Neurospora crassa OR74A: one gene and its partner. The protein of the gene in region 1 interacts with the protein of each later gene in a biochemical or structural test. Links are inferred from orthologs where the notes say so. Each region holds a gene or a part of one and is shown in the gene's direction. Other genes may lie near its edges.

What was found.
Region 2: the proteins of NCU06171 (region 1) and NCU06347 form a complex in vitro, tested with the Saccharomyces cerevisiae proteins (2 studies listed by BioGRID). The link is inferred for Neurospora crassa OR74A from reciprocal best matches to the Saccharomyces cerevisiae genes PAN1 and END3.

What each region holds. Positions count from the first base shown.
Region 1 is NC_026503.1:1,749,870-1,754,136, forward strand, and holds the start of NCU06171 (actin cytoskeleton-regulatory complex protein pan-1), read left to right. Parts: upstream 1-1,166; 5' UTR 1,167-1,367; coding exon 1,368-4,267.
Region 2 is NC_026504.1:2,823,256-2,827,450, forward strand, and holds NCU06347 (actin cytoskeleton-regulatory complex protein end-3), read left to right. Parts: upstream 1-1,508; 5' UTR 1,509-1,919; coding exon 1,920-2,156; intron 2,157-2,270; coding exon 2,271-2,505; intron 2,506-2,578; coding exon 2,579-3,297; 3' UTR 3,298-3,510; downstream 3,511-4,195. Other genes in the region: NCU06348 (myo-inositol-1-monophosphatase), read left to right, coding at 1-648. UniProt on the Saccharomyces cerevisiae protein: Component of the PAN1 actin cytoskeleton-regulatory complex required for the internalization of endosomes during actin-coupled endocytosis. The complex links the site of endocytosis to the cell membrane-associated actin cytoskeleton.

The sequences.
Region 1 (4,267 bases):
CCAGCTGTAGTGCTCCGGTTTTTGCCCGCATCAGCACCACTCAGGGACCACAGGCCCAATGAAAACTGTGATCGGCGACTCTGGACTTTTACACCATGTACACGATGTCCTGGTAGCTGGTGCGGCCATCAAAATGACACGCAAACGCTATCCATCGAAGCGATGATGTGACCGGCCTTGTCTCCACCGGGCTGGCTGGAGCTGGGAATAAAAGGAGTCATCCTCTGCAGCTCCAGGTCGGAATCCATGGCGATGAGGTGTGGTGAGGAGCCCGACTCCGTGCAGAAAGCCAGGACGACCATGCTATTTTTGCCCGTTGAACGGAGCGGCGGCGGGAGGGAACGCGCGGGGACCTCAATGCTTGTCTGGAAAATTTTGTGACCGAGCAGCCGATAGTCTGGGGAGCTCCATTCGGCCGCACAGGCCAGCCCCCGACGTTGCTCTCGGCCGATGGATTCGGGTCTTGGCAGCTAGGGGAGATTCGGCCTGGAGGCGTCGACGTTGAAGATGTCAAGTTGGCCCAAGCTTCTTTCAGTTCGTTTGAAGCTTCATTCCTTTATGTGGCCTGTGCTCAGGGGGAGCTGGAGAAAGCTGTCACGTGGCAGAGAGGAGGCCGAGCACGGATTATACATACTGCGTATGTAGCTAGGGTGGTCCAAGCACCCTACTAGTGAGCCCAGTCCGCCCGTTCCTGAAGTCTACCAACACTGACATGTACTTGGAAGCTTCGCTGTTGCTTCTTTGCCTGCCGTGAGCATGGAAAAGGTGGAGCAAAAGAGAAGCAATGGAGAGCATCCATTGGACCATATGGTATTCCAGCTCCATTTGCTCATTTTCCATGTTATTAGTTCCCGCTTCCAACTGCAGTGGCTCCAACCAAGGAACGGGGCGTGGTGGTCCAGTCCTTGGTGTTTACTATGAGTGACATCGATTCACCGCACTGATTGCCTGCCCGACGCTGCCTGGACACTTGACACTGACCCTGACCCTGACACACGCAACAACAACAACACCCGACCGCCGCCAGTGCTGTCGTCGTCGTCGTCGTCATCACACGAGCGCTTCCACGGCGCATCGCAGCCCATACTTGCCATTTGCATCTTGTCTATCTACACCATAATCACTACTCTAATTCAACTACTAGTCTCCCCCATTCCGTGACTGCCGACCAAGAGGAGCTTGCTGCCTCTCTTTCGCCAGTTGCCTCTCCGCTCCTTGAACCCCCTTTTCCCCTCGTCGTGTATCAGGTGTTGCTGCCTCCATTTCCGCAGCCCCAAGCCCCTCTCTTCCTCGTCCGATACTTCTAGACCCGACACGAGGGCCATCGAATTGCATTTAGTAATATACACGAGGAGGAACCGCCCGTCATGTACTCGAACTCGAATGCCTTCCTCGGGGGCGCCAACAGCCTTCGCCCCGGCCAGCAGCCGCAGCAGCAACAGCAACAATACGGCGCCCCGAGTCCGTTTGGCCAACAGGGCCCGATGCAGCCTCAGCCGACCGGGTTTGCGCCGCAGCCGACTGGGTTCGCTCCCCAACCTACCGGCTTTGGTCAACAACAGACCGGCTATGGTCAGCAACAACAGCAGCCGCTCCAGCAGCAGTTCACGGGATACCCGGGGTTGCAGGCCCCCCAGCAACAGCCTCAGCTTCAGCAACAGTTCACCGGTTTCCAACCCCAGGCTACTGGCTTCCAACCCCAGGTTACTGGCTTCCAGCCTCAGGCTACTGGCTTCCAGCCCCAAGCGCCCCAGCAGCAGCCGTTCCAGACCGGCATGCCTCCTGTCCCAGCGATTCCCCAGCAGTTCCAGCAACAGCAGTCGTTCCAGCAGCAGCAGCAGCAGCAGCAGCAGCCATCGATTCAGCAACCCCAGCCGACTGGGTTCCCATCCGTACAGATCCAAGCGCCGGCTCAACAGCCTGCCCCGACCGCCCAGGGTGGCATCGCCCCTCCTCCGCCCGTGAAGCCCCAGGCTACGGGCTTTTCTGAGATGGCCGCCTCTTTCCAGACGGCTGGGGGCAAGGGACGGAGGGCCGAGCAGAAGACCAACACCGTCAAGATCCCCAACATCCGCCTTTCTTTCATCACGGCGCATGACCAGGCCAGGTTCGAGACGCTTTTCAAGTCGGCTGTGGGAGAAGGACAGACTACCATGTCGGGTGAAAAGGCGAGAGATCTCCTTCTGCGGTCGAAGCTGGATGGGGACTCGCTATCACAAATCTGGACATTGGCGGATACCACAAGGTCTGGGCAGCTACACTTCCCCGAGTTTGCCCTGGCCATGTACCTTTGCAACCTCAAGATCACTGGCAAGGCACTTCCTAGCGTCCTACCTGATCACATCAAGAACGAGGTTTCGAGCATGGTGGACATCATCAACTTTAGTATCACCGACGATGCGGGCTCTAGCTCTGCCCCGGCATCTAACGCCCCCAGCTTTGCTACGCAGCAGAATACGGCGGCCGTTCCGACCATTCAACAGCCCCAGCCGCAGCCGTCAAACTCGGCGATTCTCCAGGCGCAGATGACTGGCTTTCCTGCTCAGCAAACTGGTTTCATGGGTCAGAACCAGGGCCTTCAACCCCAGCAGACTGGATTCCCGGGAATGAACCCCCAGCCAACTGGCTACGCCGGTCCTATGCCTCCCATGCCTCCCATGCCGACCGGATTTGGCTCAAATCTGTCGCCTAACGCTGGCCCTGGCGGCATGGTTGCTCCTCTCAACTCTCAGCCCACGGGAATGCCTGGACAATGGGGACTTGTTAATACGCCTGCCACCGGATTGCCTCTCATTGATGCGCTCCAGGCTCGCATGATGCCTCAACTGGGACGTGAACAGCGGAATTATACTACGGCCGGACTTCAAGGTAATGCCGTTATCCCCTGGGCCATCACCAAGGACGAGAAGACGAGGTACGATGCCCTGTTCCGGGCTTGGGATGGTCTGAACAAGGGTTTCATCGCTGGCGATGCTGCTATCGAGATCTTTGGTCAGAGTGGCTTGGACAAGCCTGATCTTGAGCGCATCTGGACCCTCGCCGACAATGGAAACAAGGGCCGCCTGGATTTGGATGAATTTGCGGTGGCTATGCATCTGATTTACCGCAAGCTTAACGGCTACCCTATTCCTAACCAGCTTCCTCCTGAGCTTGTTCCCCCTTCTGCGAGAAACCTCAGTGCGTCTATTGGTATGGTCAAAAACATGCTTCATCAGGAATCCGAGCTCCGCAAAAACACTGGGGCCTCGTTGCTGCCCCAGAAGACCGGCGTCAGCTATCTTAAAGGCCACTCTTTCAAGAACACTGGGGCTAACCGCAAGGATGCTACCGTGTTCAAGAACAACGATGAGGAGGTGGGGTATCGCTCCAGCGCGCGCCGTCGCGTGGGCACGTCTCCTCGTCCTGAATCTCCGGCGGCTAGTAACTCCGGTGATGACCTGACTATTGAGCAGCTTCGCAAGAAGATCAAGGAGAAGCAGGTACTTCTTGATGCCATGGATTTCAACGATGAGAAGAACATGGAGGAAGACGACATTCTTGACAGACGCGACCGCCGCGAGGCCGATGAACTATACCGCCGTATCCGGAGAATCCAGGAGGACATTGACAATCATCCAGATGCCCAGCTGATGAGCGCCGACTCTGATGCCGAGAGACGCGCACTTAAGCGCCAGCTGCAGCAGCTTACTGACAGAATCCCAGAGCTTGCGTCCCAGGTTCGGAAGACTGAGAAGGCCATTGCTGACGCCAGACTTGAGCTCTTCCGTCTCAAGGATGCCAAGGCTCATCCTAACAGCGCCGCCGCCATTGTCGGTACTGGCCCGGGTGGTATGGTCACCGAGTCCGACAGAATCAAGGCCCGTGCGAAGGCTATGATGCAGCAGCGGACAGCTGCCTTGATGGGCAAGAAGATCGATATCGGTGATGATGATGCCGATGGCCCCAAGCGCTTGGAAGAGGAGAACATCAAGATTAAGACCGAAAAAGAGAACAACGAGCGCATGGTCAGAGACGTTGAAGATAGCGTCCGCGAATTCGCCAAGGGTATTGAGGATAGTCTCAAGGAGGGTGCTCCGGATTCCACCTCTGAACACGAGAAGCGTCGCTGGGAGGATGCCCTTGGCGTGGAGGACGAGGTCAGAGACTTCATCTTCGATCTTCAGCGGGAAAGCCGGGCCGCTCGGATTCGGTCTCAGGACCGTCAGGGCGGCCGTAAGGCCACCCAGGAACCTGTCAAGGCTGAGGCCCCTGTTTCTACCCGCGTAGA
Region 2 (4,195 bases), on another chromosome or scaffold:
CCCATTGACGGCACCACCAACTTCGTCCACGGCTACCCGCACGGCTTCTGCATCTCGCTCGGCTTCGCCCTCGACCGCCGCCCCGCGGTGGGCGTTGTCTACAACCCCGCTCTCGATACGCTTTGGACGGCCACCAAGGGACAGGGCGCCTACTGTCAGCGCAACGCCTCTCTCGAACCAGGAAAGGGACAGGGGCCAAAGCAAAAGTTGCCGCTGAATGGGGGCCAGCCGCTAGGAGACCTTTCCACGGCCCTGGTGGCGGTCGAGTGGGGTAGTCAGCGCGAGGGAAAGAACTTTGATATCAAGACCAGGGTGTTTAGACAGTTGACGGCTGCCAAGGAGAATGGCGGGTGTATGGTGCACAGCTTGCGCAGCTTGGGCAGCGCGGCCTTGAACATCTGCGCAGTGGCGGCTGGTCAGGTCGATATGTACTGGGAGGGCGGGTGTTATGCGTGGGATGTGACGGCGGGGTGGTGTATTCTCGAGGAGGCGGGTGGAATTATGGTTAGTGCAAACCCGGGGGATTGGAACCCGGAGTTGGATTCAAGGTTGTATTTGGCCGTCAGGGGAGCGGAGAGCGGACAGAAGGAGATTGTGGAGGAGTTTTGGGGGGTTGTTGGGGATGACAGGATGGAATATAAGCACTAATGGTTGGTGAACATGACGCGGTTTTGGGTACGGGCTTAGGTTATCAGGCATTGGGTCAAGTAATAAGCAGGCATATTGGATTTGGAAAGATGTCGACTAGATGAGTTAAGGCTATCGTTAGAAGGGTTGGATTGGGGTGCGATATCCGGGAAAGGGTCGTTCGCCCGTCAGCAATGTGAGTGACAGCTGCATCACGGTCCTATGGCCGATCAAGAAGAAAACTGAAGGTGATTTCGTTCCTTGATGTGTGAAGATGTGGCAAGGTACGTTGCAGAAAGGTTGATAAAGAAGGAAAAAAAAGAATTCGCATTTGATCCGACCCAGGCTCGATCTGGGGACCTTCAGTGTGTTAGACTGACGTGATAACCAACTACACCATCGGACCGTTGATGTGAATAAAGGTTTTCTGCGACTTTATGACTCATAAAGTTAGACATGTTTGATGCCATGGCCTGGAGTATTGCTATTCCTTTCAATGCTGGAAGGAATCGGCACCAACTGGTAGCTGAGCTGGTTGCTGTGGTTTACCTAGTGAGCATGTGCGCTTTATCTGTAACCTCTATAACCTGGACCACGCTGGTCGCTCACTGGGAAGAAACACAAACAGTTTGAATCCTCGAGTGCGTGGTTTCGAGTTTATAGCATGGACGTGAAGACGACGAACATCACATCATGCAGTTGACACAAGTTCAACGAGATGCCATTGTTTGGATGAAAAAGGGGCTCAGGGGCAGAGAGAAAGTGGAGACCCATGTACCTCGAAGCTACGGCAAGGCACAACAGCCATGTGCGCACATCGGGCCATCCCCCCGGTCCCGGTCATACTGCGAGGCATCATCCACCGACAACAAGAGACGGAGCTTGGACGTTGCAGCTGCCCTGGGATCCGCCTGACAACTTCCCACTGTAATCACACCGCGCTACGGGGCTGTACACTGGCAACAACCGACCCAACCTGACTTCCTCGAGATAACCTCAAACCCAATCGAACTTCATTTCCATTATCTAACATTGACCCGAGTATCAATCTCCACTTATTTCCGTGACCGTCTCGCTTAATCGAATCGTCAATTGCTCTCATCATTTCCAAGTCGGTCAATCAATCAGCGCTCCCGTCGACGACCGCATTACCACCGGACAGGAACCGGAAGCCGTTGCCCCCGGACTTAGGTTGCCGCTGCGATTCACGGCCCTTCAGCTTGAGAGGTAGCTGCTAGCCAAATTTCCAACCCACTTACACGCATATAATTACTACGAAGCCAACCGCGACAATGCCGCCAAAAATCGAAGCGCAGGAAATCGAGACGTACTGGAACATCTTCTCGGCGCGAACAAATGGCGGCAAGTTCCTGACGGGCGAGCAGGCGGCGCCGGTGCTGAAGAACAGTGGCCTGCGCGATGACCAGCTGGAGCGTGTTTGGGATCTGGCCGATGTGGACAATGACGGAAACCTTGATTTCGAGGAATTTTGTGTTGCGATGAGGGTCATCTTTGACCTTTTGAACGGGGTTCGTCTACCTCCTTCTGTCCTGAAGCTGCGAGCGAGCGAGCGAGCAAGCAAGCAAGCATGGGAGCAGTAATAGCAGCAGTATCAGAGAACTAACAGGGGGAGACGGTAACAGGAATACGCTGATGTCCCGACAACTCTCCCAGACTGGCTTGTCCCCGAATCTAAAGCCCACCTTGTGCAAGCGAACCGCGCGCTAACCGGCAAGGCGCCGAAATTCGAGCAAGTCGAAGATGAAGACGATACCCCCGGCTTGAAGGATGGGTTTGACTGGTACATGAGCCCGGCGGATAAGTCCAAGTACGAGCAAATCTATCAAGAGAACCGAGATATGCGCGGCGAGGTTTCCTGTATGTTTACATCCCTTCCTTTCCCTTCCCTTCCGGTCCCTAACCTCATACTAATCTACCTACCTACCCGCAGTCGCCGCCCTCCAAGACCTCTACGACTCCCTCTCCGTTCCCGACACCGACATCCGCTCGGCCTGGAACCTGGTCAACCCGTCGGCCTCCTCGACCATCAACAAAGATGCCTGCCTCGCCTTCCTGCACATCCTCAACTACCGCCACGAAGGTTTCCGCATCCCGCGCACCGTTCCCGCTTCTCTGCGGGCCTCGTTCGAGCGCAACAAGATCACATACAACGTCAACGACCCGTCGCAGTCGCGCTGGGCCCAAAAGGCCGACGATGAGACCTCTACCGGCCGCAAGGCCAAGTTCGGCGATCAGTACCTGACGCGCCTAGGCCGTTCCTCGTTCAAGACGGCCGGCACCGACTTCTCGTCCGAGCAGACGGACGATCAGTGGGAGGAAGTCAGGCTGAAGAAGCAGCTGGCGGAGCTGGACGAGAAGATGGCCAAGGTTGAGGAGGCGGCGAACCGTCGTAGGGGCGGGAAAAGGGATACAAAGCCGGCACTGGTCAAGAGGGAGCTGGAACAGCTGTTGGATTATAAGCGCAAGGAATTGAGGGACTTGGAGGAGGGTAAGGGGAAGGCGGCGGCTGGTGGGAGCCTGAAGAGCGTGGCGGATGATTTGGCGACGGTTAAGGAGCAGGTGGAAGGGCTGGAGGCGCATTTGAGGAGCAGGCAGGACGTGTTGGAGCAGTTGAAGAGGGAGATTGAGGAGGAGAAGGTTGGGAGGTAAGCTGTTGAGGGTCGGTACAGGGAGATGGGTTGAAGAGGTAGAGAGAGCGGGCTGTGATATTTTGCTGGGTTCCTCGAGGCGAAGACCATGGGCAGTTTGCCAGGACAGGAATGATTTGGGTTCATCGGTTACGTTTCATCTTTCTAAGACAGCATAATCTCTTAATGGCATTCAGTGGAGTAACAACAAGCTGCCTGATGGCGCATATCTTGACTGTGTAATTTTCCCAGGTGCTATGGTATATTACAATGAAAGGTATCATGTTGACTGTGCTTTTCAGGGGAATTTAAGCATCACAATCCACGCGCCTTTGCACTCAGCGCTTGTCTAAGCAACAACATGGTGGCTCTGCTTGTTGCCGCTAGAGGCTGTCGGGAAATGTGAAAGGAGTAGAATAGTTTGACCGTATAGATATCTTTTCGATTTCATCAGCGTGAAGAGGCATCGGAAATCCTAGTTTATGCCATTTCCAGTCTTATTCCACTGGTACCTTGATATACATGTCCTGCCAAATATGCAGGCACAAGCAATATGTTGCTTCGGAGTTGCTGTGGTTGGAACATCTCAAAAGGTACGAATGAATTGCATCTTCACATGGGCCCATCTGGATCATGTAATTACTGGTTTGAGCAGCTGAGTCCACGATAAATAAGCGTAAAGTGAGGCTGTCAGGTTGAAAATGAGTTGAAGAGGGTGTTGTGGATGCTATCGTAGGATCGATGAGTACACTAGTGGGGCAATGACGCTCATGGTCACATGGAAAAGCTTCCAGGGGAAAAAGACCCCTCTCCACCATTCGCTGTTGGACATTCCACAGCGAGTGTTTACCTAACTCCGCACTTTGGAGCCTGGAAGGTACCTACCCCGCCAATCCGGTTCCAGAGTTGCAATTCATCCC